4 linked regions of the Caenorhabditis elegans genome follow. The protein of the gene in region 4 purifies or fractionates together with the protein of the main gene of each other region. This does not show direct contact. Each region holds a gene or a part of one and is shown on either strand. Other genes may lie near its edges. The genes, in order: mcat-1, cest-10, elpc-4 and dhrs-4.

Evidence for each region.
Region 1: the proteins of dhrs-4 (region 4) and mcat-1 fractionate together in Caenorhabditis elegans (co-fractionation; one large-scale study listed by BioGRID). This does not show direct contact.
Region 2: the proteins of dhrs-4 (region 4) and cest-10 fractionate together in Caenorhabditis elegans (co-fractionation; one large-scale study listed by BioGRID). This does not show direct contact.
Region 3: the proteins of dhrs-4 (region 4) and elpc-4 fractionate together in Caenorhabditis elegans (co-fractionation; one large-scale study listed by BioGRID). This does not show direct contact.

What each region holds. Positions count from the first base shown.
Region 1 is NC_003280.10:85,637-94,772, forward strand, and holds mcat-1 ([acyl-carrier-protein] S-malonyltransferase), read right to left. Parts: upstream 5,884-9,136; coding exon 5,672-5,883; intron 5,177-5,671; coding exon 5,056-5,176; intron 5,005-5,055; coding exon 4,907-5,004; intron 4,577-4,906; coding exon 4,404-4,576; intron 4,353-4,403; coding exon 4,217-4,352; intron 3,805-4,216; coding exon 3,615-3,804; intron 3,403-3,614; coding exon 3,226-3,402; intron 3,113-3,225; coding exon 3,002-3,112; 3' UTR 2,893-3,001; downstream 1-2,892. Other genes in the region: C50D2.6 (CPG4 domain-containing protein), read left to right, coding at 1-70, 981-1,011, 1,630-1,761, 1,810-2,122; C50D2.7 (putative ADP-dependent glucokinase), read right to left, coding at 6,807-6,966, 7,340-8,100, 8,150-8,369, 8,675-8,947.
Region 2 is NC_003282.8:7,176,309-7,184,945, reverse strand, and holds cest-10 (Carboxylesterase type B domain-containing protein), read right to left. Parts: upstream 4,412-8,637; 5' UTR 4,381-4,411; coding exon 4,161-4,380; intron 4,118-4,160; coding exon 4,011-4,117; intron 3,906-4,010; coding exon 3,797-3,905; intron 3,744-3,796; coding exon 3,648-3,743; intron 3,605-3,647; coding exon 3,460-3,604; intron 3,417-3,459; coding exon 3,225-3,416; intron 3,183-3,224; coding exon 2,932-3,182; intron 2,883-2,931; coding exon 2,797-2,882; intron 2,746-2,796; coding exon 2,479-2,745; intron 2,428-2,478; coding exon 2,161-2,427; 3' UTR 1,953-2,160; downstream 1-1,952. Other genes in the region: clec-179 (C-type lectin domain-containing protein), read left to right, coding at 249-290, 386-508, 557-664, 714-867, 919-1,089, 1,137-1,425, 1,471-1,534; dbd-13 (DB domain-containing protein), read right to left, coding at 4,615-4,917, 5,122-5,364, 5,411-5,496, 5,549-5,684; str-44 (Seven TM Receptor), read right to left, coding at 6,523-6,614, 6,658-7,039, 7,153-7,219, 7,266-7,759.
Region 3 is NC_003282.8:8,013,538-8,020,795, reverse strand, and holds elpc-4 (Elongator complex protein 4), read right to left. Parts: upstream 3,803-7,258; 5' UTR 3,793-3,802; coding exon 3,657-3,792; intron 3,582-3,656; coding exon 3,171-3,581; intron 3,121-3,170; coding exon 2,663-3,120; 3' UTR 2,575-2,662; downstream 1-2,574. Other genes in the region: dnc-4 (Dynactin subunit 4), read left to right, coding at 1,008-1,111, 1,177-1,304, 1,350-1,467, 1,514-1,946, 1,991-2,232, 2,277-2,493; C26B2.7 (Cytochrome c oxidase assembly protein COX20, mitochondrial), read right to left, coding at 4,005-4,208, 4,263-4,365, 4,416-4,516; C26B2.8 (C3H1-type domain-containing protein), read right to left, coding at 5,159-5,352, 5,399-5,527, 5,578-5,713, 5,757-5,818, 5,863-6,021, 6,134-6,227, 6,273-6,394, 6,443-6,503.
Region 4 is NC_003283.11:12,918,744-12,926,280, reverse strand, and holds dhrs-4 (Dehydrogenase/reductase SDR family member 4), read right to left. Parts: upstream 3,674-7,537; 5' UTR 3,661-3,673; coding exon 3,599-3,660; intron 3,386-3,598; coding exon 3,205-3,385; intron 3,146-3,204; coding exon 2,786-3,145; intron 2,346-2,785; coding exon 2,166-2,345; 3' UTR 2,125-2,165; downstream 1-2,124. Other genes in the region: pqn-67 (Clip domain-containing protein), read right to left, coding at 1-454, 650-740, 785-1,122, 1,171-1,304, 1,726-1,840; Lipase lipl-1, read right to left, coding at 4,687-4,806, 4,860-5,135, 5,183-5,811, 5,973-6,072, 6,182-6,274. UniProt on the Caenorhabditis elegans protein: Catalyzes the reduction of isatin, 4-oxonon-2-enal, 9,10-phenanthrenequinone, menadione, 2,3-hexaenadione, 3,4-hexanedione and 2,3-heptanedione.

The sequences.
Region 1 (9,136 bases), on a different chromosome or scaffold from region 4:
TCGCAACACTCGGCCAGCATTCGGAAAACCTATGCGGGCATACGATTCATCTGTGTGGAGCATCGAGACGGTGAGACGACTGGGAGTTTGAAGAAGTTAGAAAACGGGGGAAGGGGGTCTCCTGGGTGAATCAGAGACGTCATTGTTTAGGGGTTAAAAGACTACTGAATAATTGACAAATGAGCCTAAGAGGAAGATTGGAAAGTGTGAGAAAAAGAGTAAGAAGTAATGGGAAAAGATTAAATCGGGGGAGTCAGCTTCTCGAAGAGAGGCTATATTTCTCTGTGGCCATTCGAACTTTTGCCTACTGTAAATTAGTAAAAATAGAAGAGAGAAAATATTTCTCACTGTAGGTTTAGGCGTCTTTTAAGACCCTTCTCGTAATCTGAGAATAACAACTGTTAACATTAGAGGATAATTTCCGATTAGTCGGTTAGATTGACTAGAAAATAAGTCAATGTATAGATTAAATCAATTTTGCCCCAGACCCCCAACATGTTTCAAAAATACTTTAAAACACTGGTCTAAAAAAGCAAAACCTTACACACATGTTGTAATGCGTGAAATACAGTCAGAGTATTTAACGGGTTTTCATTTCATCATCAGAATGTCACAAGTACTCTTCTAGCCCGCAACATGTGCCCCACAAAATATCCCCTCTAGGGATTTCGTGATATCCTGACACTTTGATTTACTAACACCCTTTATACGCACAGCTACCAAATGCCCAAAGCTTAGAGACACCAGCGACAGGTTCTGCAGTAGTTTAGGAGGGAGAATATACGGAGGATAGAAGCACACACGAATGTCAAGGCTAATAAATCTCGTAGCGGTGTTTGTGGAGATTGAATGGAAGGGCACATACGAGAAAAGGAGACTCGTCAATTTGGTAAATGGGCTCCCCGTAGGGCTTCATAAGGCAAAAAGGGGGGGGGGTGTGGTTCAAAGGCACATACACACAAATGACAATAATATTTCAGAATTCTTCCGATCTCTTCCATGCCTTGCCGAGTAAGTTACCAAGTGCATATATCATTCACATATTACATTTCAAGTTGAAAATGTATAGATCTCATTGGTAAATCAATTTTGATCGACGTCGAAGTACGTCCAATCGATGCAGGTGTCCCCAGCTTTGACATACTTTGATGTCGATTGGACTGACTTCGACGTCGATCAGAATCGATTTAACAGAGTCTTGTTTAGGCTAAGGGGTCAAGTGCAGCATGACCGAAATTTGCTTGGGGCGGGGGGAGGGGCGTCCCCATAACGGCCCTATTTTTCCCAAGCATGAATATTTGAATACAGATTTCCATTTAAAAAATTAATTTGAAAAATGTGACGTAATAATGGTACACATGTACCGACTATTCTGAATCGAGTTAAGTAAACTGACAATACTTTAATATAAAAAAAGTAATGTAGACATTTTTTGGTTTCCTGTAGTGTCTAGTTTTATTAGCACGGGAATACCTGCACCCTGGCTATGCTTACTTTCACGTGAAAAATTCTAAAGTTGTCGTACAATTAGCTTCCCGCTTTTTTTGAGCAAAGTAAGTAAGTATACCAATTGAACGAAAAACGAACTGCCTAATATCATCCAGGTCTTTCAGCATTTCTATTTTCTAGACACGAAAAGATTGCCCTCCAACAGTGCCGACCTCAGATCAATGATTCTCTAGCCGCAAGCAATCGATTTTCGGTCACAGTACTACGGAAGGAGCATCACAACCTGAGATCTCATTTCGAGATGCTCTGCAAGTAAGAAACTAGCCAATCCTTCAATACAAACTTAAATTTCTCTTTCAGAAAACTTGGCTCCATGATTGAATGTGTGGAGCCCGTAACACGAGCAGGCTGTGGAGATCAAGCGGCAAAGATGATGCTTCGATTCATCACTGTCGGATTTTCGAGTTTCGAGCAGCTCTATTCTCAACTGGGTATCTCCGATCAATTGCCCGCGGCTTGCAAGTCGCTGCTCTCACTTCAAAAACGCACGGTGCTCCCCGAGCGTCGCCATTATGTCCTCCCGCAGGCTTCTTCGGAGTACAGTGTCTTCAGTTCCACGTCTTCGACTCCGCATATTCCAATAATACTTTTCTCGTATCTCATCCTTTTTTGAAATCTCGCCTCATGATTTATAAATAAAACGGGTAAACTAATTATCATGAAACTTATATTTTCAACAATTAAAACTATAATAAATACAAACAATGAAAAGATCACTTCAGCAACTGAAATGAAAATAATTCTTGTGAGCCTTTTTCTATGTTTGAAAAAGCATGGCAACGAGCTAACGTCCTGCACTGACTTTGTAGAAACGGGGAAATACTTCGTTCAAAAACTATTAAAAAGTGGCAAAAATGGCAAAAAAGTGGCAAAAAATAGCATTTTTGAAACTTCTCTAAAATGGTTCATTTTTTAGCTAGAGGACTCAAAATTGATCTCCAAACCCTAAAAAATTGCCTTTTTTCATGGTAATATATGGTTTCAAACATTTTTAGAAAAATTATTTTTTTGCCCAAAAAAAAAGGACAGTCATTATGTGATGGCTGAAAAATCAAAATGGGCAAAAATAAAAAGTTGTTTATTTTTGTAGGGAACGGGTAATTCATACATGTTTAATCCAAAAAATCTAAGTTTAACCCATCAAAAACTATTAAAAGTGGCAAAAAATAACATTTTTGAAACTTCTCTAAAATGGTTCATTTTTTAGCTAGAGGACTCAAAATTGATCTCCGAACCCTTAAAAATGGCCCTTTTTCAATTTAATATAATTTCAAACATTTTTAGAATTTTTTTGCCCCCCAAAAAAAAGGACAGATGGCTGAAAAAAGAATTGGGCAAAAATAAAAAGTTGTTTGTTGAATGATTTTAGAATAAAACGGGCACTCATTATCCTGAAATTTATATTTTCAACAATTGAAACTATAATAAATATAAGGCTAACATAATATATAAGGCTAACATAAATATAACACAAACAATGAAAAAAATCAATTCAGCAACTGAAATGTGAATAATTCTTGTGAGCCTTTTTCGATGTTTGAAAAAGCATCGCACCGAGCTGACGTCCTGCACCGACTTCGTAGAAGCGGGGGAATGCTTCGTTCTGAAATTTTTTAATGTGAAAAATCCAAATTCTTCACCATATTTGAGTCAGCGCGCAAGAAAATGTGTTTTGGGGCGTTGAAGTTACAGTACCACGAAAAATTTGAAATTTACCTGATGTTTTCTGAACAGCGATTGTTGAATCTGTTCCCATCGAACCGGTGAATTGATTTGTTTGGCGACAGCTCCACGAACGTCTCCCTTCTTCGATGACATCACTTTTCCACTATAATTTGACCAGACATTGCACACCGGACGATGAATCTCCACGTTTTGGAAAGCTTTTGCCACCTGAAAACACAAACATGAGGAAAGCTTATAAAAACAACTTTATCGGAAAATACAGGTTCTGTTTAATATTTTTCTGTTAACCAGCCATGAACCGTACCTCCGGCGCAGCCCCGACTTCTGGGGATGAGAACTATTTTTTCTTGAACTACAGTACTTCTACCGTACCACTATGAAAAGTTATTAATTTTTGAAAATAGCAAAGAAGCACACACCTGTTCGACGGCAGACTCCATTTGTCGTGTATGAAAAGCTGCCGAAACTGCAAGTCTCTTCATCACTTGAATATTGTATTTCTCTTGATTTTCTTCCAAATATTTTAGGCACGTTTCTGATCCGCCAATTACTCGGACACCGCAATACAGATAGTTGGCAACTTCACATACAACAAGCTCTCGGTTTTCACTGGAAATTTGAACAATCAGGGTTTGGGTGGCCGTTCGGCAGGTTTTTTTGTTGAAATATCCGGCAAATCGGTAAATTGCCGGTTTGCCGTAAATTTTAAATTCCGGCAATTTGCCGGTTTGCTGGAAATTTTCGGCGATTGCCGATTTGCCGGAAATGTGCAATTCCGGCAATTTGCCGGAGTGCCGATTTGCGGGAAATTTTCAATTCAGGAAATTTGCCGATTTAGTTTATTTTCAAGTAAATTTATTTTTTCGCATCAAAGTTAATTTATTTTCGATAAAAGTAGTTTCAAATGTTGGAAAATAGTTTTCTGAAAATTTTCAATTTTTATGATTTCCGTCGGGTTTTTTGTACTCTTCCTGCAAAAACCGCAGGTTTTTTTTGAAAATTTTTGTGAGAAAAAACCTACGCCGCCACTTTTCTGGCATCTGCCATTGCCTTATCCAATTTCGATGCAGCTTTTACTCGAATCGTAACCATTCCACTCTTCACCAGTTTCGCGCATTCTGACATTGCTTCGGCTCTGGTTTTCACGATCTTGATAGCTGGAAAAGTCTAATTTTAGAAGAATTGAAGAAACACAAAAACCAAATTACCATCTGAAAAGCTCAAAACTTTCCCGGCAACAAGTGACGCATATTCTCCGACTGAAAATCCAGCTGTATCAGTCAGGTTTTCTTCGATTGACGGATCTGATGCTTTTAAAGCTTCAAACGCTGCTATTGATGACGTTACGATGGCCGGTTGGCAGTAAAGTGTTTGTTCAAGTCTGCAATTTTTTTAAATTTTTTCAGACAATATTATGAACAGGGGTGGGCGGCAAACGATTTTTCCGGCAAATCGGCAAATTGCCGGAATTGAAAAATTTCGGCAAATCGGCAAATTGCCAAATTTGTCGACAACCACATTGCCGAACGGCAATTGTCACCCACTCCTGATTTTGAAAATATGCTTGGCGATTCCAGAAGCATTAATAGTACTGTTTGAAAATCGAAAATTAGATAATATCGGGCAAAAAACGTATTTTTGCCGGTATTTTTTCACCATGAGCACAATTTGATAAAGATTTCTAATTTTTTCAGAGAATAATATTTATTACTTCTGTTTGGGACCATCTTGACAAACTTTGAGCATGTCATATCCTAGAACTTCGGATGCTTCATCGAAAACTCGCCGTGCCGCTGGAATATCCATCACCTGTAGAAATAAAAAATTGAACAATTGCGCCGAACATTATTACTTTAACACCTTTTGACCCATTCCAACAAATTGTGCTCCTTGTCCCGGAAATAATAGAACGACGTGCTCTTCGATGGGTAATTGACTGAAATCAATAGCTCCAGAGTCTTTCTTCTTGCGCGTTCCGTATCTTGAAAAATCAAAATTAACCGATATATGGGCTGACAAAGCTTATGGTGCATCGATCTCAACGATCTGATTCTTAGTACTCTCAAGACGGAAAATAAGTGATGGAACGTGATTTTATTCGGAAATACAGCGAAAACGATCGTAGAGTTGATTTTCTATAAAAATTTGAATTTTTGAAAAAAATTTTTTTTTGAAATTTTGAAAACAAAAACTCCGAACTTCAGAAATTTTCAAAAAAGAAAAATTTAATTGCCTATTTTATCCGTACCAGGCTCATCGGTATTTCGATCTTAAATTATTTTTAATGAAAAAAATTCAAAAACCAAAAATGTACATTTTTGGCCACATTTTTAATAATTTCCGGTTATTTTTCGAAAATTTAAAAAAGAAAAACTATTTTTTGCATGATTTTTCCGAGAAAAAAATCAAATAATAAAATTTTAAATTTTTTCGAATTTCCTTCATTTCAAAATTTTCAAAAAAAAACCAAAATTACCGAATTTTATTCCTTTCCTTCATAATTTCACTTGACGTCTTTTCAATATGCTCACGAAGTTGCTCCTCTGGGTACGGTAGCCGTGTCGTTGGATTAAGAATTACGTTGTGAACATCTGAAAATGTGACTCCTTCATCCAGAATCCCACCTCCTGGAGGTTTTCTTCGAATAAGTCGTGTGGAGCAACGAGCTATGTTAAATGGAGTCAGCATCTGAAAAAATTGTTTTTTTTGAAAATTAAAACATTTTTGTTTTTTCTTATATACTTGAATACAGTTGTGACGTAATTTTTCTACACTTTTTAATTTTCCGACACTACTTGAATAACCCCATAAGGTGGAGTTCCGAAATCTGACACTTTGCTTTTTTAGACTACCGAAACTAGACCACCGAGTGCCGAAACTACCCAAAAATTTTCATACTGCCGATAGACTACCGAGACTACCGATTAGACGGACATTTTAGACTACCGAAAAACTACCGAAACTAATAAGACTTTTTGAAAATTTCACAAAAAAGAAGTTATGGCGGTTCAAAGTTCTGGAAAAAATGTTGATTTTCAACTGGAATCAAAAACTTGGGTCTAAAAAAGCAAAATCTGAGATTTCGGTACTGCACTTTGAGGCTTTGTAAACATTTTTTTTCGATTTTCAAAAATATACCGTTTTTCAAACTTCAAAAATTTACTTACATAAACATTAATTTCGATCCAAAAATTATAAGAATTTTGAATCATCAAAAAGTCTAAAAATTTTCAAAAAAATATTTGATTTTTTTCTAAAAATCGTCAATTTTTTGATGAGACTACCTGAAATCGCAAAAAAATAGAAAAAATGGAGAAAACCACAAAATTCAAAATTTAGAAAAAAAAGGGTATTTATTACTATTTACATTTACAAAAATTACAGGCACATAATCATAACAAAATTCACAGAATCTTTGGGGGGAAAAGAGAAAATACATGAAAAAAATGGCAAAAAATGGGGAGAATGAACAAATTTTTACAATAAAGTACACGTGGTGTCAGAGTGTCCCATCACGGTGTGATCTACAAAAATGCGGTGAGCGAGACGCAGAAATCCCGCATTTCTTGTACATCAACCCGTGATGGGATAACCCGACACCATGTGAAAGTCTACCAATGAGTGGGTCTATTCAAGCGATAAAATTGTGAATAAAGAAGTCCGGTAGCAGAAATTGCATCATCAATTCCGACGGTTTTTGATGGTAAACGGCATACAAGAACAGGTGTGAACACGAATAGAACATCTTCACGCATCCATGATGCTATTGGGCTGGAAACAGATTGATAAGGAAAAGGAACACAACTTTTTCCCCCATAACTACAGTAATCCTACCGTACTCCTACAGTACCCCTACATTACTATTACAGTAACCCGACCTACAATCAAAGAAAAGTGGGAAAAATTCCAGATTTTAGCAAAATTTGGTTTTTTTTTTGAAATTTTGACCCGAAACGTTTTGGGCAACTTTTTTGTGAAGTCTCATTATGAAATTAGGTGGTTTTGGACAAGTTTCAGTCTATTTACGCAAAATACCCACAAATTCTACTCTCAGTTTAATATTGATTTTTGATAACTTAAAAGCTTTTTTGGTGTTTTTTTTAATTCGGTGTTTTTCTCTCAATTGATTCCTCTTTTCACATACTTATGAGCTTCAAATTGATAATTCTTCTCAATCTTCTTATCCAACACAAAATTCGCCGGAGTTCTAATTTCCAGCAGCTCCGAATCCATCGTATTTGCTCCAATATTACATGACAATCGACCAGCGATTCTGGCTCCGGCAGCAAGGCCAGCAGCAAGATTAGACCAATCTGTTCCAGAAGATACCATAATGTGATACGTGAGACAATGGAAATGAATTCGAGAGAGCCGGTATCCAGTTTTCGACGCAATTTGTCCAGTGGGATCTCTTCCATATGTCTTCAAGAGCCAATGGAGCATCTCTACAACTTTGTGCACATGAACGGTTCCAGCTTGTACCGGATATTCTTCCATATGTGGTCCATTTGCAATATGTGACAGGAATGTGAGCTCTTGCTCATTAATACCAAGAGAATCTACGTATGGTAGGATCTTATTGATAACATCAGTTGAGAAAATCTCATCGGCCAAACTTCCAAGCTCCAAATGAATCGGAACTTTCGGCGGGATTTGAAGAAGATTTCGCTTGATAAGCCTCATCTTTTCCTGTCGCATTTCTTTACTTTGAAATTCGAGTAAATGAACACCGGTGATAACGACAAGATCTGGACGGAATTGAGCGATTGCTTTAAAGAACATTTCCATAACCACCATCGAACCACTGAAATGATCATGACTTGTAATGAAGCGACTGCTACTCGGTGCCACCCAATCTCCGAGAATCTCTCCTTGCTTATACTCAAGAATTACGTGCAGCTCGTCCTGAAAACCACACAATTATATTCATTTTTGCGCCGACTCTTTCACATACTTTCAAAATTCTTGTCGAATTCGTTCGTTTGACACTGGGATGAAGAAGTGCTTGACTACGCGGCCCAATTGGTCCAACCAAATAGACTTCAGTACTTGGGAAGTTTGCAGCAATTCTGTCTGCCATAAGCGCAGCGTTTCCTCCGATATGATGGTGGGATCGGGTGGATGCTTCAGATTCGGCAACGAGAAGGTTGAATTGATCTTCTGATGACATGTATCTGAAACAAATATGATCTTATTGTTTGAAAAATTGAAAATCGAAAGTTCTTTTTTTTTGTAAAAGCTTCTCCTTTTTTTAAATTAAAATTGTCATTTTTAGAAATCCAATTTTTTCCTCGTCTCTTCCATACACTTTTCTACATTTTTCACAGATTTTAAGATTCATAATTTCATTTTTTTTTACTTTTCGTCAATTTTTTATATTTCCCTTTTTCGAAATTTAATTTTAAAAATGAAGATAAAATTTATTTTCCAACGTAATTATTTTCTATTTCACGAATCCAAGCTTTCGAAGAAATTCTACCTTTCGGCAGCGGCTCCTCTTTGGAAGAAATGTGCAAATGTTTGATGCAAATCTGCCAATGTTTCGAGTGTTTCCTGATCTTTTCCTTCTGAACACGTCGTGTTCAACGCATCGACCACACGAACTCCGCTAACAATCAGATCCACGTTGCAATTGAATCCTATAACTGCTTTTTTGAACATTGCTCCAGGCTTGACGATTGCTCGCTCCCATGATAAAAACATTGCCGTCTCAACTGAATACGACGAGAGACGATGTTGATCATTGTAGTAGCTGAAATATTCGATAAATATTTACGAAAATTTTAATTTTTTTATTTAGAAAACCTAAAACAAAAAAAATTTAAACGAAATATTTACGTTAGAAGTAAATTTAAAAAAGTCAAATTCTTATGAAAAAAAAAATTGGATTTCAAATTATTTTAAAAATTGATTTTGACGTTCTTATTGATTTTTTTGGAAA
Region 2 (8,637 bases), on a different chromosome or scaffold from region 4:
ATTTGTTTGAGAAAGCTTCATAATCACAATTTATCGCTGTAAAAACCATTTTTTGAACTATTGAACAATTGAACTCGTCCGTTTCCATTTGTGTTCAAAATTTTTCACATAAATTTTTATTCTGAACAACTCACGAGTGGTCCAAGAATTTTCTTTGTTGGTAACCTCAGAAACGTCAAGTAGAACGAGTTTTTCAATATACAACCATACACGGAAATCTCTTTTGTTTTCATTTTTACGAGCACAAAATGATGTGGTGGATTTCTCTGCTCTGTTTTATACCGACAAATGTAAGTCAAAGATATTTCCAGTCTTCTTCTCTGCAAAGTAGTTAACTAGCTTGCAGTACGCTAAAGAATTACCTGAGTAAACATTCATAATTCAGAATGCATTAAACACAATGATTATTCATCATGGAGCTCTTATGACATGTATTGACACAGAATTTGCACAGAAGGAGACGTGGAAGGATTGTGTTACTTCGTGTGCTCAAAATGATACATGTGTGGTGTGTTGACAAATTTTACAACAATTAATACAAAATTTAAGATTTTAGATTGCTCAAGCAAATCTTACAACGCCGAATGAATGTCAACTGTGCAGTATTCAAAATCTTATGCATATTCAGAAAAGGTTCCGTGGAAACATGATAATCGCGTTAAAAGTTAGGACAGTTAGCGCATATGGTTGATAAATTAAAAATGTTCTTCCAGACAGTTTCACTTGACCCGATAACTGAAAGCATGTGTACTCCTTTTGAACTAGGAACTATCAATGGGCATTTCAACAATACTTCCAACTTGACGCAATATGAATATTCAACACAACTTTCTGAGGATGGAAATGTTTTGAATTTTTCCTACAGTGGTATGCCAATTTCTAGTTATGCTTACATTTTCATAAAAGCCCAATTTTTAGCTATGAAGAGTTGTCCTCCTCAATGGGAGCACTTTGACAGGGCCCGTGGCAGCTGGTGTATTAAAGTTATCAGACAAGATGGTACTCATGTTGAAGCAAGTAAGGCATGTAACGAATATAATGCCGCTTTGACTGGACTGGAAACAGAAAATGAAACTTATCATATTTGGAGTAAGCCTATTTGTATCTGTTTCCCGGTATCATATCTTAATTTTAAGAGACTGCCTACAGTCTTGTAGAAAGATATCCCTCTCAACCAAAGATTACCGAGCGAATATGGATAGACGGTGTCAGAAAAGTAACATGTCAAGAAAAGCTAACTTTTAATACAAAGGAGGGATGTGTAAGTTTCGACGGGTTTGATTTCGAGGACAAGTTTCTATTGGAAAAACAAGGATACACTTGGGAACAACACAATCCAGATAGGTTAGGCCCAGACTCCGGTCCTCACCAGGACTGTCTTGCATTGTGGATTACAGCAAATAATCGAACTATCGATGATGAAATGTATGTCTCACCTTTAAAAACAATTAAACGAAGCGACTATTTCAGGTGTTCAAAAGTACTCGACGACGCCCCAGTTAAAGGATTCGCTTGTGGAAAAGAAGCTGGCTAATTTTACGTTGATGTTTTGAAAAATGCTTGAAAATAATTAACTTCACATAAAGTATGTTGATCTGTTGATCTTGTTTAAGTCGACATCCAAATGAAACTCTCTCATGAAACGCTCAAATCTGCGGATCAATGTTGATGATCTCAGCATTAAATCGTTTGTCAATTGTTTAAATATCTATTCTTTTCCTCGAAAAAATCGAAAAGCGTTGGACATGTTTTTTTTTTAATTTTTCCCCATCAAAAAAATACAGATGAAACTGAAAAATGTCTGCAAATTTTAAGAACGTACGATATTTCGAACACTCTATTACATAAAATTAACATAAAATTCTCTTCTATCAGCTATAGACAATGTTTTTTTAAATGAAAAATTAGTTTTTCAAGAAAAGTGTCATCAAATGTCTAGTACATGCCAAATTGAGCAGTGATAACGTGTTTATTTGAAAAATTACGATTGACACAAAAAAAAGTTTCGACAAGGAAGTATTCAAGATTTTTGGCAACATTTGATGATATTGAAACGTCGGAAATATAGTTGTTTCAGGAATTCAAACATTTGAAAATGGCAAGTAGGGAATGGCTTGGAAAACAGTTCAAATAGTTACAATCAAACAATGTACACACATTCTAATTTTTAATTGGATAATCCGTTCCATCTAATCGGACATATAAACTTCTGTCGTGATCAGCAATACTACAAGTTCTTGAAGCTATATATCCTGTAGCGAACGATGAGAAAATAATGAACAAAATAAATAGAGTTTGAGGAAATGACATAAAGCTGTAATATGCTGAAAAAACTCTTGATGCTGGTTGTCTCCGAGATTTAATGTTTCTTAATAATGATACTTCTCGATCGAATTCTATCATATTTTTGGTCCAGTAATCCAGTATCTGAAATATACGTTTACTTTTAGAGTTGGCATGTAAACAGTTTGTTTTTACCTTTTGCTCAAAATTATTTTTCATCACTGGTCTTTCTCCGGTAGTTTCATTCCAATTAACTTCAAAATATGTTGATCCATTCAAATTTGCACCATCACATCCATTTCCCGGGTTCCCGGTTTTGATAAAGTTTAAAAACATGCTTCTATAAAAATTTCCTAGCTTAATCTCATTTTCGTCTTGAATAAAAGGATGAACGCCCATTATGAAAAAGAGATCATCTGTATGATTGGCATGTTTCGGGTAAGCATACTCGTAGTGATACGCCTGGAAATCCAATTAATTTTATTTGAGGTAACTTTTTATTTAAAAGCTCACCGGAATGTTCTTTTTTAATATTTTATTTACTCTCGTCCTAATTTGAATCAGCATTATTTGAGTTGCATTTTTTACGTTATCAAATTCTGAATATTTAGTATTTTTAAGAGTAAATATATAATTCAAAACTCTCACCTATTTTTCCTTCCTTGCTATCACTTCGATACTTTTCATTGACTTCTTCATAGTTTTCAAATCCCAAAGCTTTTCCCATATTACGATAGTGATCATAAACTAAAGATTCATATTTTGTACATCCTGTTAAAGATGTGATATTGTTCGGAGAATCCATAAAATCTCGTTCCAGAACTTCTTGAAAAATAGGCCCTCGCATGACGGATCCTCCATAAACTGGATATCCAGCTTCTTCAAGACTTCGTTGAATTCTGTAGTGAAGACTGTGTGAACTTGTTTATATTGTATTTTACCTGAGTAATTCAGAAGCACTCTTCTTTTTTAAACAGTCTCTCATGTATACTTCTTTTTGATTTTTCCTCATAAATTTCGAATTCTTTGGAAGACAATTTGCATGTTCCGCAAATCGATAAGTTCTTTCAACTTGAAGTTCCAAAGTATCAAAGTTAGTAGGTGATGACATACTGATGTATTGTTGGAATAGACTGAAATCAGATTTTATGCTTGAAACAAACTATTTAAAGTTACCTGAGATCTGTATTCACTTTGGTACTAAAACTCAACATAGACGCAACCGTTCCTCCATACGAGTGCCCCAAAAGAGTTGTCCTTTTATTATTCCCTCCAAAATTATGAATATCCGATTTGGCAAATTCCATTGCTTGAAGCATGTCTGAAAATGTTTTCTTTGAAATAAAAATGGCTAGAAATGTTACCAAATAGAGCTAAATTGTTTGGAGCAATACTTTGATCTTCTACCACAAAATGAGAAAATATACCAAGACGAACAGCGGGAATCACAAAAACTATTTCTGAAATTTAGATTTATTTATGGAATTTATTTAATTAAATTTGAAAAAACAACCTTGGCTGGCATACGTGTGTAGAAGGAAAGTGTCGTTGAACATTACAGCCGAGTCATAATGCAGATTTCCTCCGTGTAGATATATTACGACTGCACAGTTTTTAGATTTCTGGAAAGGTTATAAATGTATAAAATTTCAGAGGTGTTCAAGATCTTTTAGCAGATAATCCTTTTTTTTTAATTATTTTTTAAAAGTAAGATTTCTACAACTCACCAAACAAGTTTCAGATGTGAATATATTCAAGTGAAGACAGTCTTCATCAACCCATTTCTGAACAGTTTTTGTTGTCGATGAGTTTGACATGCATGCTGGTCCGTAGTCTTTAATAAATCATAATTTTTCATTTTCCATAAGCACACAAACCTTTTGCATTTCTAACGCCATTCCATGTTTCGGCAGGTTGCGGTTTCTGAAACCGTAATTTCCCCAGCGGAGGCTTCGCAAACGGTATTTTTTTGAACAAGTGAAAGTTGCCAATTTGATCTCCATTCAGTTTGCCAAGAGAAGTTTCAACTATAACAGAATCAACAAAACAAGAAAATGAAAATAAAAATAAAATTTGAATACCAGGAAGTAAATGCATGGTTTACTTTATAATTGTAATGATAACAAATGGACGTCCAAAAAGATTGTTATAAATGATAGGAGACGCAGACTGATAAGATAATATGCACAACTGATTGGCAGATGTGTGAAGTATGTAGTTTTAAATTGTTCCTTTTTGTAGTTCATACAGACTTATAAAATTTATTTAGTTTTAATCAAATCAGTTCATACAAAACTCAAAATGTACAAAAACCGGTGCAATTCGTGTCAATTATTGTCCGAAAGTTCTGGCAAGCAAGTTTTGGACAGCAAAAAGTGGGTTTTGTGGGAGTTGTGGAGAAGTTGGGGCTCTGAAGTGCTCTTGAGATGGACGGCGGAATTCGGCGGTTTCAGTGTCAACTGCAAATTCTCTGTTGTTGTCACGATCATTGCTGAATGAGACTATTGGATCGGAAGCTTCAGAAGCCTTCTGGTAGAAACAGGCTTTCATGTTCTCGAAACGGTCATAGCAAGCCAAGTAGCTCATATCAAGTTGAGTGACGTTTCCTGGACGTTGGTCACAGAAGGTGAAGCACTGCAATTTTCATAAAATATTTATTGTTCTCAGTCGATACTGTTGAATTGCTCAATATTTAAATTTCAAAACTAGTCTGAGTGAGATGTCGTAAATATATTTTTAGTCGCATAAGATGATGTATTCTCTCAAAACAAACAACGTCATGTTTTCGCCCTCGAAGATATTTCTGTCTAGCTAATCACAGTCTGGTTTTTAACTGACCTTATTACCAGCTAATGTAGTTCCAACTGCATTTCTAGCACAGCACGCGGTGTGATCTTTTCCTTGAGCAGCACAGAATTGAATGTCAGCGGCTGCTTGCATTGGGCACGAGTCTTGCTTGAAGTACATTGATTGAAGAGCTGATTTGGTGTATGAACGGTAAGAGCATTTTGAGAGGCAAGAGTCTGGCAGGTTACGATCTTCACAGCACTTCATGAATCTCTCATCTGGGTTCATTTCACTCTGAAATTGATAATTTTAGAATTTTCTGTGAGATTGAAAGTCTTACTGGTTTTTTAAAAGAAAGAGTCTTTGATCCTCGAGCTCTGGCTCTATAACATCCATATGAACCACATGAGTATCCACCTCCACATCCTGAATATCAAGAATTCAATTTCTATTTTAAAGAAAGAGTTTTTGTATTTACCTCCCGAGCACATTGGAGGTGGTGGTGGAGGACATCCTCCTCCACAGATTCCCGAAGCGAAGCATGCTTCAGAAATTGAGACAAGTGCTGCCAAACAAGAAACAGTGAAAAGAACATACAAAAAGCTGGAAGTCATGTTTATTGTATAGTTTGATTATGACATTTGACCCTTTCAATTCCCTTTTATACCATCGGGACCTGTTGATGAGTAATCGCTTGAAGGTTACAAGGACATAATGGGCATTTAGAGGAAAAGAAGACCGAAGCTTTACACTGTGAAGTGAGAGATTGTGGAATGATGAGAGTCCCAGGCAGTCTTGAATTGAAATTACGTCATGTGGAAAGAAGGGGGCTTAAACGAAAAGCGAATAGTGATTCAGAGAAACTATTTGACACCTGAACTTGTTTCTTTGAAAAGTAGAGAATAAAATGAAGAGATGAGTAAGCAAATAGAACTATGAATGGTAAAGTAAAATACTTTGGAGAAAGTTAGGATTAATCTTTTCCTTCTTGTCGGTTTGTATTCAAAATGGGAGATGCTTAACACGATAAGCTTCTCGTACGTTCAAACTTAAAAGTTTCAGAAAATTGAATGCCGGCCGAATAAACCGAACTGGATATGTTGTTGAATTTTTATGATTTTTTTAAAAGAAAAATAGTGAGAACTTTTAAAAACTGTGATAGCCAAAAAAATATAACATCATCATCAACTATAACATACATCATCAACTATAACATCAACTATATTATTTTCACTACTTTTTTGGTTGTGACTCAATTCATGAGTATGATTCATATTTTGCTCATAATAGTGCTTTCGCAGTTGAAAATTTTTGTTCCTATTGTGTTCTGATTTGTGAAATTTTATCAACACAGATCACATAAACATTTTTATTGGAATTATAAAGTTCTTAATCTGAATGAATAAATTAAATGCACAAACAAAAATGATTTGCAGGCTTTTTCATATCAAATTAAATTGCTCGGGAAGTGGACGTTGGGCCTGTTGGCATAGTAAGTTCGCTCATTACCTTGACTCTCTTAGGAAGAATTGGATGAAAAACTTCTGAAAAAGTATAATTTCAACTGTTCCAAATTCTCAGTCAAACCTCTCAAAGCTTTTTTGTATTCTTGAACAATCATCATAAATGCGATTGTATCAATAGGTGAATAGATAGTCAATATAACATACATCCATCCAGTTGGAAAGTTCATTCCGATTTCAATAATTGGTTCAAGTAACGGACCAATTAAAAATGGAGCTATTGGAAGCACGAACAAGAATGTTGGAACAACGGTTTGTACTACAAGAGCTCTGAAGAATTGTTTTTGAAGTTTTTGGTTGACAATTGATTGTTGTTGAAGTTCTTTTTGAAGAATTGTATGCATTCGAACACCACAATAAATAATTATGGCATATTGTAATTCCAAAATAAAAACTCCAACGATCAAAAAATCAATATTCTGCCATCTCACAGAACCATCTGCTGCCTAAAATACAACAATTTATTTGAATATAATCTTCAATTAAGCTACATTAAATATCCCTCATCTTTAGAGATCAAAAGTTTCATAGAATTTTCTAAAAAAGTTTTGAAACTCACGTAAGGAATTATAAGAAAACGCGGGAAGCTGGTTATTGTGCGGTTGTACCATTCTTCAACTACGTCACTGAAACAATTGAATACATCTTCTATTGGGCTCTTTGAGTTCTTACCTCATGTAATCATCTGAATAGATATCAGGATATCCGAAATAGCCTAATGCACCTCCATATATAAACCCAGAAATGAGTGAATAGAGCAACCAAACTATAACTCCGTATCCACCAAACTTTTTGGAAAGATGTGGTTTACAGAGAGTGAAGTACCGAAAAGCAAATTGAACAGCAATAATTGCCAAAATAACCAAATAAAAGCTTGCAAAGAGTATTATAGCAAATTGGAGAAACTCTGGATACTCCTGTAGCCATGAATTTAGACTAAAATATATCAACGCTTTATTGTAATTGTGAGCAAATGGTCTAGCAACTAGCTCCCAAGCAGAAAAAACAATTCCAATAAAAGTGAAAATAAGGACCATAAGTTTGTATGTTCCAGTGATTTTCTTAATATGAAAAGCAGTGAGATATAGAAACAATAAGTTGAATATCAACGTAGAAACAAATCCGATTTGAGTGAAAGTGTATGAAAATTCATGAGAAATATGCATTTCGCTCGGAAGTGTGACTAAAATCCCACTAAGAATTCCCTTTTATTGTGTTACTTTAAGAACAAAATTTGTAGTTTTTTCTGTAGTTGTTTTTCATGAAATTTCCACACGAAAAGAATAAAATGAGTAATGAGAATGATGACGGTTCTGTCAAAATCATAAAATCAAGATAGGAGTTATTGAATCGTAGCTTTTTATTTCAAAAATTTCAAAACATTCTGACTTAGTTCTAATTGTTGACTCATGAAACTCAACTATCGAACACGTATATTTTTATGAACAATGAAAGATGTTACATTTCCTATACAATATAATAAATTTTTCAGGGAAAAATTACAGTTAAAGATGTGAATTTATGTATTTTTTTGACAAACAGTTCTTGTTCGTAACAGTTGGTCATATTTGTGATTTCTAAAAATGAAGCAGTTGTTTATTGTAAAGAAGATATTATATAGAGCAGGAAACTATTAAAGAAAATAGAAGAGTGCTTAAAGAAAAGAGAAAAATAGTGAGAATGCGCCTCAAAAATTTTGACAAGCATCTCATTAAAACAAAAGTAGGACTTTATTAATTGCTCAGTTACTCTAAACATTTTAAGATTTGTTTTCCATTGCAAAGCTTTGCATCAAACATGAATCATACTCAGATAACATAGAGTCACCTCTAATTAGCAAAAACCCATTTCTAATTAGCTATTTCGACCAGTTCTAGAGTCAGCGTAATTAGAAATGCTTTTCAGTCGATTAGAAGTGACTTCCTAGCTAATTAGAAGTGGTCCGATACCAAGAATGAAAAATTATTTTTAGCTAATTAGAAAGGATTTCTTGCTAATTAGAAGTGGTTTTCGATACCAAAAATTAAAAACGTTTTTTGACAGT
Region 3 (7,258 bases), on a different chromosome or scaffold from region 4:
CAATTTCAGCTTCTCAAATCTCGATCTTATTTTCAGTATACCTTCAAGATTTTGCAGATTAGGAAGGTCTTTTCGCCAAAGTAGTACAACTACTTGTATCACGCCTACCACGATAGCGTGGTTTGGTACGGTTTCACTGCCAGCCCTTTACTCTACCCAACTATCCAAGAAAAACGAGTGAGAATTTCACTGCCAACATATTTGACGAACTAAATATCTCATAGCGAAAACTACGAAACTTTTTTAAATGACTACTGTAGCGCTGGTGTCGATTTACGGTCCCGATTTTCGAAACGAATTACCGTTCGAAAACACTTGTGGCAGAGATTTTATTTTTTTGTTTTATTCGTACTGTTTTGTCATTTTTCTGTTTTCCATTTATATTTTATCGATTAAAAATTATTTCCGTAAATCGACACCAGTACAGTAGTTACTTATGAAAAGAGTTACTGTAGTTTTCGTTACGAGATATTTTGTTTATTTCGCGTCAAATATATATTTTTATAAATATGTTGCGCAATATGCATTCTTAGAATATCGTGTTCCTGTAATAACATACACTTGCGTCGACGACCTGCCAGCCCAATTTTAATTAGTATGTAAAATGCAATCTTCTCCCAAATGAAATCCCTATCCGGATTATAAAATATTAGTTAATTTGTTTTCTAAAATATTTGTAATTGATGTCAAGTCAAAGGTGTTCCATCCTCAATAACCTTCGTATTTATTTATATGCATTTTCAACATTAATTGAGTTTTCCGTATTCCAGTTGTGCGGGTACTAATTTCTCGTGCGAGAGACCATGTTAAAAGGAGAGAGTGCGATACTGTGGCCGAGAAATCTCAGCGCGGCCGAGGGACGAGATCGTGTTGTGAAATAGTTTTTTTTACAAAAATAATTATTTAAGTTTAACATTAATTTTTGTGATTAAAATAACATTAAACTGCTACTTTTTCAAATTTTCGAATTAAAAATTTAACATTTAGGAGCGGTTGCGGTTCTCAATATGAGCGAGTTGCTGCAGTACAGTCGAATCAAATACGAGTGCACCTGTGGAAAATTTCGAACCCTTCCGGACCTTGTTTTCTGCCGATATTGCTTCAAAATTAAGTAAGTTTTTTTAATGGGTAATTGTCTAAAAATAATTGAAAAAAAAAATTAACCAACTTTTCCAGGTGTGATGACTGTAGCTTGGGAGAAGTTGACAATATTTTCTGTCCTCGATGCCTTGAACCATCAAGCGTCCCTGAAGCAAGACTTAAAAAGCATAAATGCGCAAGTTGCAATGATTGTCCTAAGTGTGGTATGATTTATCCACTATTTTGTAAATATATTTGAATATTTTCAGCTAACGTTCTGAGTGCTCGTACAGAAAATGATAATGTATATTTGGTTTGTCAGTACTGTCGTTGGTCTTCAAGAGAAGCGAATCAAGAAGATCAAGAGAATACTAAATCCTGGCCAACGTATGACTAACTGTAAATATGATCTTATGACATTTTATTTATACAGAAAAGAAAATCCATTGGTTAATCAACTTGGTGAGGTGACGGCATACATGAAGAGACTTGAATTGATTGAAAATGCTCCAAAAGATTTGAAAAAGGGAAAATCGGGCAAAGCCTGGACTGCTTTTCACTTGAAAGACAAGTTTGGATTTCAACAAATGGTAGATAAGCGGAAAAAAGCACTGGCTCCTGAAATGAATCCAGTTGATGCACATGCTCCAACAGAAGCGCCGACTCTTGAAGATGAGATTAAAGAAAGAACGGATGATCTGAGAACTCTCGATCAAATCATAATGCAACCATTGATCAATATCTCTGAGCCACTCCTTCCTGTACAAGTTCCTCTGGCTGGAAGAGTTCAAGTTCGATGTGATGAGTGCGAAAGAACTCTTATCAAACGAGACTTCGGAGTTACTACCTTTAAATTTAAAATTTCGGTGAGTAGCTCATTCAACAATAATGTAAAAAGTTTAAATTTCAGTCATTTGCCCGTCAATTTGTTCCTGACATCAGAATGTCTCGACCGGTTGATGATCTTAAAGTTGGGGAGACATCACACGTATTTCTCTCTATTACCAACTTATCATCATCTGCAATGGATTTGACTATCGCACCTCAATCTGGAAATGGTTTCATTCAATGTTCCAGTGATCCAATCCAGCTTCTTCTTCCATCATCGCGAGCATCGGATACTGCTGCTCCTGGAGTTCATGCTGACCAAAGGTTAGTTTTTTCTTGTTTTTAATTGACTAAAAATGGTATTCCAGTGACGTCATCGTGTTCCGACAGCACAACCGAGTTGGCCTTCGACTGGATGTTATTCCCACCGAGATGGATCTCTCTTCTCCATGTCTCAATCTTTTGATTACATATTGTCAGGATGGATCGTTCCGTCTCTCCTCCGCTAGTGACAAAATATTGAAACCAGAAGAAACGTGTCCTGATCCAATTCTCTCTGCTAATTTAAAAGTAGATCTCAGATAATCATTTCATGTATATTTGTTTCTATCCTTTCTCTACCACAGCGTGTCTTTTCTTAAACATAATTTATAAGCTTTGTTAAATATTTAGAAGACGTTTTTATGCTTTAAATTAAATACTTTAAAATTCAACATTCAAACATCCCAACAACAAATAAACATGATCGAGAAAATCAAAAATCAATATTCTGGCAAGATGGAGTATTTTGATGACCTGGAGCTGGCTCATCAAATGCAGGTGGAAGATGCATCACTCGAATTTGGAAACCTTTTCTGGAACTTGCTTCAAAAATAAGATCGAGAATCGGTGGAGTGTGTGTTCCAACGGACATCAATCGGGGCAAACTCTTCAAATGGAAGTATCCATGAGCAGTGCCAAGATGTTTGAACATTTTCTTCTCATTTTCATCAAACGGCATCAGTTGAATATGTGTATCAGCTGCGGATTCCAGTATACGCCAAGTTGGTTTCGGAACTCTGAAGGAGTTAGCCGTGATGTATACAATCATGTAACTCGAACGAGCTAAAGATCGGAGACAGCACAGGAATCGGCCAAGGAACTTGTAATCTTCACAAATTTCCATATCGATATTCTTCAGAACCACTCGAAGAAGATTCTTTTTCGGTCCACCTGAAGTAAAATTCATTAGTTTATGTATAATAATTCAATAAAAATCTCACCTCTTCCGCCGGATTTTGTGTGAGCTTCATTTTCTTTTACAATTTGGCAGAGCGTCTCGTAAATCCCTTTTAGCGTAAAAACTTTCTCCGCATACACGTCAACATTCGGATTCTCTACATGCTTCGTAAAGTCATACTGATTTTCGTTGCTTAATGGTCCAAGGGAAGAGGAAACTTGTTTTACATTTCCATACCGCCACGCAATTTTCATCGAGTTTTCATTTTCTGCCGGCAGAGAATTTGGAATTTCTTGATTTTGCATATCCGTGGATGTTCTTCTAGATGGTATGAGATTGATCTCTTTGGGATCTTCCGTGGGATCCGCAATGAAGCATCGATGACCATGATGAAGTCCTTCTGCGAGGAATGAACGAATGAGATAAGATCCATAGCAACGAGAACGATACTCGTCTGAAAATGAATGTGATTTTAATTTTAGGTTAGCGGGTATTTAATGAACAGGTAGCAACTAAATTAATAAATTACCTATGAGAACAATACTTGAATTAACTAAAGCTCCTCCAATGAGTGTGTCAAATGAATCGCAACCACTTGAAGTTTCCAGTAAGCGTTTCTTTGTTGAACATCCGGCAATTTGAACACTATCACCAACGTTCAACATTCTGAAATTACTTTAAAAATATGAAATATTGATGTTGACCAGGAAATTACGATAAAAATATTTGCAAGGTTATTACCAAACCATAATGTAATTTGAGAAACAGAAAAGAAAAATGAGATTTAAACAAACTAATTATTATTTCTAAAAACAAAAATAGGGTTCTAACTAAAAAATATATAAAGAAACCCGCAATAAAACAATATGAATTATTATCAGACTACTCCAATCTTTTTTCGATCGTCTCCACTCAATTGCAGCTCCTTTCTGAGAGCTTCGCGAGCATCCATTTCCTGGCGTCGACCCATTACCACCTGAGATTTCACTGTTACAAACGCACCGAATCCGACAAGAATAATGATTAGGTAAGCCATCCATGTATTACGATGATTTTTATCGAGGTCATGTCGGCCGACAAGCTGGAAATCAATTTAAATCAGTTTTTAGAATATTCTTCAGTATATATAATTTACCTCTGATCGATAAGCCCATTTCACTTTCTGTCCTTGTATTGTCATTTCGCGATTTTTTTCTGCGCTTTTAATACGAATTTGTTCTTCAAGTAAGTCCATGTTTCTGAAAATTGTTGATTAAAAACTTGAAGGTTTAAAAAAGCATAATCTTACGTAATATCTCTCTGATCTTTAGTTCTGTGAAGCTTTGGATTTTTCACAGGAAGAGTACAGAGATATCGTTCAGTAGGAATACGTTGGATAATGCGAAGCATCTTAAAAAGGAAATTCAAAATAATTTTATAAAATTAATTTCCTCAAAAAAGAGGCCCCACGAAAAGGGGAGCAGAACGAAAAGGGGATCTGCAAAAAGGGGATCTGCGAAAAGGGGAGATACGAAAAGGGGAGATACGAAAAGGGGAGCAACGAAAAGGGGAGCTGGCACTGTGCCAAACGCACAAAACGCAATTTTTCTCACGCAACGCACGTTGATTTTTGAAATTTTCTTCTAGAAGATACGCTTAACAACACGCGACGCGTAACATCGGAGCATCGTTGTATCGTTTTCTTCGAGAAAAATAGCGTTTGGCACAGTGTCAGATCCCCTTTTCGTTGCTCCCCTTTTCGTATCTCCCCTTTTCGTATCTCCCCTTTTCGCAGATCCCCTTTTTTCAGATCCCCTTTTCGTTCTGCTCCCCTTTTCGTGGGGCCTCAAAAAAAAAGATTGTTGAAACTACGAGACTCCGAAATGACGGGCGCGCATGTTGTTTATCGTAAATAATCTAGCTTTTCGCCGCTAATTTTAACATTGTTTTTTTTTCTCATTTTAATTATTTTTTAGTAACTTTTTATCGTATGTTTCATTCTTTTTATATATTAAAATTTGTACATAAATAGGAATCTTAAGTTATTATAAATTAGATTCGTTTTCTATCGTCCTTTTTAGTAGAATATCCATAAAATGTTGCTGCAAGTGCCTGTGCAGGAAGTACATGGGCATATTCTTCAAGCCATTCTGTAAAGTTGAAATCATCCATTGCAATTCTAGCCAAATCTTTCTGTGTCCACGTGTCATTCTGCTCATAGAGCGCAAGAATCATGGTGTGCATTCCTTAAATTTTGTGTTTAAGATTACGAAAAAATATATTCGAGCTTACCAACTGGTCTATCAGTAGAATCTGGGGGTTGATAAGACACAGCAGACTTTGTTCTTCTATGAATCTCAAGCTGTCCATCAAATGCCGCAATATTTGCAACCAGCCAAGTGACAGCCTTTGAGGTAGCATCTGTCAATAACAATGCTTATTATACCTGTAATTAACTGTAGCAAAAAAACCTGCAAGTATAATTGTATAGAGCTTCTCGTCTTGAAGTTCAACTCCTGCTGACATGACTGGAGGATCTGCAAGTTTGTCCAGTATATCAGCGTCGAAAAGTTGACCCATCGATATTTGTTCGTCGCTAAAGGTTGCCTACAATCAAGTTGTTTAGTATTATATTCATCATTTAACATACAATTAGTTCATATGCCGGAGCAACTGGCAACAGACGAGGGACAATTCGATTCTCTCGGAATGCTGTAATAATATTATGTCCTTATTCTTTTATCTCAGCCACCTACTGTGTTCTGGTTCTCTGTATTCTAATGTTCTGTTAGGTTTGCAGCAAAGTTTAACCGAATCATCTCCGAGACTTCCCAGACATCGGTATCCACGTGGGCATTGCGAATCAACTGAATTCCCACATGGCAAGAGAAGAGTCTCATAGAACTTTGGACATGCTGAAAGAAGAATATTAGATCGTACCGGAAGTATGAGAGATACGTGCGGTCTCTTTGACACGTGGCGGGAGGAAGACGGCAATGTGTCAAAGAGATCGTCGCGTCAACTCACTCGGGATGTCGGCATCTTTCTTGTCCTCACAGCAGACATATTTCTGACTTCTTAATGAGTATTGGCATACCGCATTTCTTCCTGTTGGACAATCCTGTAATTGGTTCTGATTATTGAACTCTTCATAAAATAGACCTACGTGTTCTTCTGGATGGCATTCGATAGCTCTCGATGGTATTCTTAATGTTGGTTTACTCATTAACGGTTGTTGCCAAGGGCGAACACAATCCGAATTGGACCATCCTTTGACGAGGTGTGAATCTAGAATTTTCACTGTAAACACAGCCTAACTTTGAATTTCAATCTTACTGTATCTAGCACATAATCCTGCTGCGGGGAGAAGTAGCATAATAAAAACCGTGTTGAGCATGTTATCGATAGCTGGCAAAAAACAAATAAGGAAGACGGCTATGAAATGTAGCATTTCTCGGTGATTTATATACCGCGGAGCCCATGGTCGCACCTCGAGCAGGAAGCGTTTGTTTATATTTACGTGCCAATCCAAATCCGCTCGCAAACATGATGCCCAACACATTCTTGTTGACCAAACTTGGAATATGAAATCGATTTCCAAAAAAAAACTCGGCGTTATCTGACGGTTCTCATGGGTACTAGGATAGACAAAGAAAGGGTGTGAACGCAGGGAAATATCTTTTTAATCTGCCGATAATTACTGACCATTCTGTAGTTTCTCTTGTGTGCTCAATCTTTAGATCTTTGGAAAAAGTGAAGAGTGTATGAAGGCGAAGTGGGTGTGTAATACCAAGTAACCTGTATCTAACAGTAAATAGTTTTTTAATCGATTCTGTAATTGTTTGAAAGTCAACAGTATCTCCAATGTACCGTACCATGATGTTTCACAGGTGTCTTTACAAGTTGAAAATGTAGGTCAAAGAAGGTGATTCGTGAGTGAAGGTGGAGATTGGTGCACCTGCAATTAAACCGGAAGGCGACAATAAACAATATTACGGTAGCAAGTTGAAGTATTCTGTCTGAGTGTGATTGTAAGTGTGGAAGTGAGATTGTCTGGCAGCTAGATAGTTACTAACGAAATTATTAATATGCTCTTCCATATCAACAAGATGAGGGTCTGTTACACGTAGAACTGAAAACACATTGAAACAT
Region 4 (7,537 bases):
CACATCCACCTCCAGAGTTTTGATTTCCTCCACCTCTTCTTCCATATGAACATCCATTTCCATTGCATCCATTTCCATCACCATCTTCATAATCATCATCTTCGTCGTATTTACTTTTTCTGTTAGGATTTGGCATCGATGTCGATCCAAGACTATTTTCAATCATTGACTCAACTTTGGGTGAAACTATTGGACCTTGAAATGGGCCGGCTTGATTAAACGGAACTATTGGATTTCTGGGACCACGGTTTTCTCCGTCAGTATTTCCTTCATCCTCTTCACCATCATTTAGTCTCCCAAACGGACGATTAGGACGAAACGGGCGGGATTTAATAACAGGAGATGGTTCTGGAATACGTGGCAATCCTGCTGGTGGCACATCAATTTCATTTCCACAACAAATGAAACGACGAATTTCTCGATTGAACTCGCATTTGAAACCACGGAGACATTGCTGAAGGAAACTTTTTTAAATTTTGGTTTTTGTTTAGACCCCCTCGCTCTACTCACTTTCAAAATGTTCAGTATTTTTAAAAAATATTTCTAGTCAACTTTAAAAATAATAATTGGACCTACATAAAACCAAAGCAGATCAGTTTAAAGTTACGGTATGTGGAAGTTTTCTACCGTGTAAATTTTTTTGGCTCACCGTAAAATAGCAGTCTCTCAAGCGATTTCCATAATCAATTAGAACTGTTTTATCTGGATCATTACATTGAGGGCGTCGAGATGGTGCAGATCTGAAAATTTTGAGATGATAAAAATATTTGTATGTTAAACTAACTTAATAGTGGTTGTAATCAACATGGGTGGCTCTGTGGTAGTAATAATTGGTACTTTTCTACTTTTAGTTTTTCTTGGTTTCACAGTCGTTGTTTCAAATTCCCATTCAATTTCTTCTTCTTCGTCTTCATCACTTGATAGCTTTCTCACTGATTTTTTCTCTTCAATTTTCAAATCTTCTTCCTCTTCTTCATCAATTGGAAATATTTTTTCATTGTCCTCCTCATCAATTGGTGCAACTGTAACTCCCGGTTTTCGTTTTGACATTGGAGGTTTCACAATTTCAAGTTCCGATGATAGTTCAGATTCTGGATTGCTTTCAGACCAGCAACAATAGTCCTATAAATTAATTGATTTCTTAGCAATGGAAAGAGTATAAAACGTTACCTGGAATCCAGGAATCAATATAGGAAACCGTTCACAAGCTGTTCCTCCAGGACAGCTTGTCTCATTGTAGACTCCTAGTTGTTGGGTACACAGTTGTAAATCACCACTGATTGGGTGAATATACACTTTGTTGCCTTGAAATAATGAAGATTTTCAAAACAAAATTCAGAAATTAAAATATAAAATGGATTTTTGAAATCAGATATTAATACCATTTTCTGAAACTAGAAAGCCTGGAAAATCGAAAGAATTGGGGCATCCAATGCTTGTATTTGAATAATTATTTTTCATTAATTCTAGGACTATTTGAATTATAAGAAAGAACTAGAAACGGAAAAATGAATATTGAAAAACGAGCTCCGAAAACCCGAGCATAAAATAAGCGAGCCTACTAGGATCAGACAAACTATTTTTATAATTTCCAGAATTAACAGTTTCTTGGAATATTAAAAAAAAACGTTCTCAAATATTTTTGAATTCAAAATACTAAACAATAATTTGGGAGCAAAGAATTGGTTCAACTTGAAATTCTCGAATGAAAAATTCAAAACATACCTGACGGGCAATGAATTCCAATTCCCGCATCTGCGAATATTTTCATAAACTTCTTTGCTGAAACAGTTTGGGAAACGGTGGCGATGGCAAGCCAACAAAGAAAAATTCGTTGCATCTGGGCACATCAAATGGGACGACGAATGGCAGCAGACTCAGTGTCCACCAGGAGACAGTGCAAATGTCAGAGCGAGGCGGATTTGGAGCGCCGCCGGTCAGAGCAAATAGTGTCAAATCTGCCTTCTTTTTCTTCCGATTTCCTCCCGAATTATTATTTTCGGTTGATTCAGACCGGAAGCAAATAGAAACTATCATTAGGTGTTATGAATTTGGGTGTTAAGGGTGAAAAGGTGTTATGAATTTGGGGAAAAAAAATGAGCAAACAATTAAAACAACTTAAAAAGCAAATTGCAAATGTATTTATTGAAAAGATAATTAAATAGCTAAAGACGAGCTTGAACACCTCCAGCAATAATAATCATTTCTCCTGTAATATATGATGAATCATCAGATGCCAAGTATGCTACAGTTCCAGCACAATCATCTGGTACTCCGAGTCTTCCAAGAGCAATTTCTTGAATATCGGTGAGCTCCTTCTCTGCGTCTTCACCACCATCCCAAAGCTGGAAAATATTTTGGTAAGAACTCGGCAAATCTCTCGTCATGGAGCGCGGACGGGGCGCGACTAGATCACGGGTTCGCGCTCCAGTCACCCTTTTTTTCGCGCTCCTTACGCGCCACGTCCGCGCTCCAATTGCGTTTGCTCCGCGCGCATTCCGAATTTGAAAAATTCTTACGAAATTTTATGGGACGCGATCAGAGCGCCAACGAGGCGCGAAAGGAGCGCGAAAAAACGTGTGACTGGAGCGCGAACCCGTAATCTAGTCGCGCCCCGTCCGCGCTCCAGGAGGAGCGATTTGCGGAGAATATATCCATGAATTTTGAACTTTAAGCTAACAGCTCAAGAAAACCTTTGAGCAATTTTGGAGAAACTAAATTGAAATTCACACCATTTGTATATCATTAGATTACTAAAAACTAAATATTTGAAACAAAAACTTACCACTTGGCTCATTTTAGTTTTGATAACTCCAGGAGCAATACCATTAACTCGAATATTATCCTTGGCCAATCCCATCGCCAATGCCCTTGTTAACCCAACAAGAGTAGTCTTGGTCACACCGTATGCAGCAATTCCTGGTGGACTTTTATAGGCGGAATACGAGGCGTTGAAGATAATTGCTCCACCACCTTCTTTGGCAATATGTGGATGTACAAGTTTTGTCATTTGGAATCCAGCCTTCACATTTACCTCAAACAGCTTATCCCAAACTTGATCCGAAACTTCGAGAATGTGACCAAATGCTGGGTTAATTCCATGGTTATTCACAAGAATATTAATTTTTCCGAACTTTTGAAGAGTCTAAAAAATAGATAAATGTATTGAAATTGTAATTTTTCTTTTTAATAAATATATCTCACAAAATCAACAAGTTTCTTCTGATCATCAGTGCTTGCAATATGGCCAGCAATTCCGGCAACTTTCGTCAATCCTTTGTTCTTTAAATACTCAATTGCTTCATCAACATTCTTCTGATTTCTGCTTCCAATAACAACGGATGCTCCTTCATCCAGTAGTCTTTCAGCAATTGCAAGTCCAATCCTATAAGTTATTCAATTTATTATTTCAAAGCTTTTATAAAAAATAGGGACAATTTTTATAAACACTTTAGAAACATGTATTGATTTTCAAATGAAACAAAAACAATTGCGAAGATATATTTGAAATAATAATTGGTTTAAAAAAATTACTGGAAAAACTTTACCAAGGATTTCTTCGAACAACTTAGTAATTTTCCAAAAATCATTGTCTCACCCTTTAGTCGCTGCAGTCACAATTGCAACCTTTCCTTCAAAACGGCGGCAGTTGCTAGGCATTATTACTTATTTTCTGAAAATTGTATGGAAAAAATGTTCTAAATGAAATACGTTTTCTTAAATAATGTAAGTGAAATAGACGAAAATGCGACCATTTTGAAACAAAAATACAAAAAGTGGTGGTTACAATGATAAGATCACTACACTATTCCCTTCAAAATAGGCTACAGTGTAGTGTTCAGGAGAGTGAACAGATAGCAAAAACAATATAAAATACTTGAAAACTGTTTAACAGATAGAATTGGACAAAAATTAATTAATGCACTTTTTTATGTTTAGATATTGAAAAATTACTTGATAAAAATTTTGTTTGACTTTTAGTCTTTACCACGTAATTTTTTTGTCCTCGACTAGCAGTCTACTATAACTACCATATAGAAGCTAAGAAAAATCGCAGCACAAAAATACAACACAGCTTATTTTTCACTCTAATAAGAAAGTTAAAAATTATTATTAAGTAATCGGAAATACAGAAGATGAACTAAAAAGAGTTATGAGATAACATTTTTTAAACAGTTTGTTGCAGGAACGACAAACTTTGTAATATGCCGTCCTGGACCATTTCGTCAAGCTCGCGCGCAATAAACCCACACATTCAATCCAAATTCAAGTCAAAAATTTTCTTTCATCTGTTTCGTATGGAAAGTTCGTGATGTTCTTGATTGAAATTTCAATGTGTTAACCGTGTGACTCCTTATCAATTTCGTCATCTATAATTTCTTGATAGCAAAAATTTATAAGGAAACTGAATTCCCCCAGAGATCACATCAAATGTCAGAGACACACTTTATGTGTTAATGGAATACAGTAACTTCAAACAAAGCGTTTGATAAAATAACATTTTGAGAACATTATTATGTTCTTTTAACCGGATTGAATATTACTTATCCAAATAATAATTATAATTAAACATCTGAAATAAAAGTATCACTTCATATAATTTATTATTTACAATTTCCGAAAAAAACAACGTCACAATTATGATATGCTGGCAGGATAAAGCTTTTTTGCGGTTGATCTTCTATTTTAGGAACCGTTCAAAACATCGTTTCTCACAATATCAATAATTGGTTCATAGATGTCTTTCGGTGCACGGAGTCCCCAGATGAAATCGAGATGGTTGTAATCGATCAACTTATTGTTTTGCTGAAAATACATCAATTTGAAAAAAAAATCATTCAGAGTTTACAGAGTCTCACCACAACAGTTGATGGATTCAAGTGCGTTAGCAAGAAATCTGTGACGTCGGTCGGGTCGGCAAGCCAATCAGAATCGCCCCAGTACAAATAGACTGGTCGGTTTACAGTAGTGAAGTCGTATGCTGGAACATTTGCTTGTCCGTAATGTTTCTTATTTCCCTTCTCTCCATAGTCATATTTTGGAGTGCCTCCGTGGCGGACCATTTGAATCCAGTGAACAATATTTTGAGTAGAAGTTCCTGCGGGTGTATGTGCCACATAAATTGGAACACGAGTCTGTAATACAATTAATTTCTCATCACCTTTCCTGCAAAAAAACTTACTGCGTTAAGCTGGTTGGATTCCGGCCCAGCAATGAGGAACATCACATCGTCACAAACTCCAGCTTCAACTTTAAGTCCAGCGCAAACCGATTCAGAGACAAGCTTCATAATCCAATTGTTTGGAAGGAATTCACCAGAACCAAATACATCAAACCATCCATCAAATTCAAGGGAAAAGTAATCAGCAAAGAATTTCAAAGCTCCTTTGATATGTTTAACAGATCCAACTGGAGCAAGTGCAAAGAACTTTTTAATTTTATTTCCCCATCCAACTTTATCCTCAGAAAGTCTACTGAACATTGTAAGTGTGCCTTGTGAATGTCCAATATAATATAGACTATCTTGTCCAGTAACTTCTAAAGCTTTCTCAATCATTGCTGGCAAATCATATTGTTGCATTTCATCCCATGACCAATCCCAGAATGCCGAGTGAGATGGTTTCAAATTCTTGTGTTTCATACTGTATGTGTTTCCACGGAAGTTTCCAAGCCATACATCATAACCAGCGTCAGCAAAAAGGAATGCAGCGGACTCCGTTGGCAAATTGACAACCCAGTTGGATGATGAGCATTCAAGACCGTGTTGCATGAAAACTACTGGTTTCTTTCCATTTGGCCATGTGACATTTGCTGAAAAAGTGAACTTAACAACATATATAATTTTTTTTTCGTTTTGTTTTCCTTATATACAAAATGAGACGTTTTTTAAAGAACTGTAAGAGAACTGTGTAGAATTGTTTTTTGTGGTACTTGAAGTTTGAAAAAAAAACACAATGACCTGGGGCACTCACTTTTTCCATATGGAATTCTGTGTAATTCCAAAATGTATCCATCTTCAGTTGTTACATCGTATATCATTGCAGGATATCCCCATCGCATGATTATTTGTGGCTGAAAACTAATGGATAATTTCGTGCAAAAAAATTATTCAGAAAAGCAAATTTTATTTTTTAAAGAAAATATTGGTTCATAAGAGATTTGAATCCTTCCTTCTACTTACCGTGGTCATCTTCATCTCCGGATCCGCATCATGTCCGAAAACAGTGGCTGCTGTGGCAAGCACAGCCAACATAACCGTGCTCCAGGATCTCATTTCAACCAGAGTCTACCTGAATAAGTTCTCTGTTATCAAACACGTTGTCGGCCATGCTTTTATCACGATTTTCCTGTCCTTAATTTGTGCACAATTATTACTGTGCCCGCCCATTTTTCCTGTTTCCTGACACAATTTGAAGTTTGATCTCAGGAAATAGACTGGTGCAAATGAGACAAATAAGAAATAGTGAAGGTTTGGGGAGAAGTTAAATGAAATTAACACATTTTGATGAGAAAATAGTTATCTGAGTAACAAAGAACGAAAAACGCAGTCACGGAAAGGAGTCGTAGTTTTTGGTACATGTATTCAAATCAACAGTTACTGTGACAACTTTCCTGTATGATAATTGATGTGTGCCAGATTGAACATAATATTATTCTGACAATGTTTTAGTAAGTCAGGAAAATGAAATAAAGAAAGTTTCTGAAATATTTCCACGTGGTTTTTTAAAAATTATTTTCATCGCTTTTTTATTATGTTTCTCTGCAACGGAAAAATATTTTTTTCCAATTTTTCGACGAAATATATTCATTTTTAGTTTTGATGCACTAATAATATCACAGATTAGAATGGACAACACAACTTTTTTCATGAAAATTATGATTTTGACTATGTTTCTCTGCAACCGTACCAAACCTTAATCAGCATGTGTTTCATGAGAAAATGTTTGTTGACCATTCAAATCCGTGATCTCGGCAATTCGGCGCCACTCTTAAACCAACTTTGCCAACATCTGTAAATGGCAGTTGAAAAGTGGCCAAAGTTGGTTGAGAAGTGGGTAAAGTTGGTTTAAGAGTGGCGCCGAATTGCCGAGATATTATACATACAAACTACAAATTACAAATACAAACTTAACACACAAACTAAATATAAATGCAATTCGTGGAAATAATTTTAAATTTAATTTTTGTTAAGCTTGATCTCTTTTAAACATTCCTATGTACATCCAAATTTGTGAAAATTTATTGATGGACTTCGTGGCGAAAGTTTCAATTTTTATTGAAGCTATAGCTTATTGGGCGTTAATAGTAGTTAAACACTTTTAAATTTCAAAATAATACTGGCCATAAAAAAAAGATTAAAAATACAAAAAACAGTGTATGAATTGTTAATGAAACACCGTTTTTGAACCATTGAGCACATCATTCCTCACAATTTCAATAATTGGTTTATAGATGTCTTTTGGTGCACGGAGTCCCCAGATGAAATCAAGATGATTGTAGTCGAGAAACTTGTTGTTTTGCTGAAAATTTACTCAAG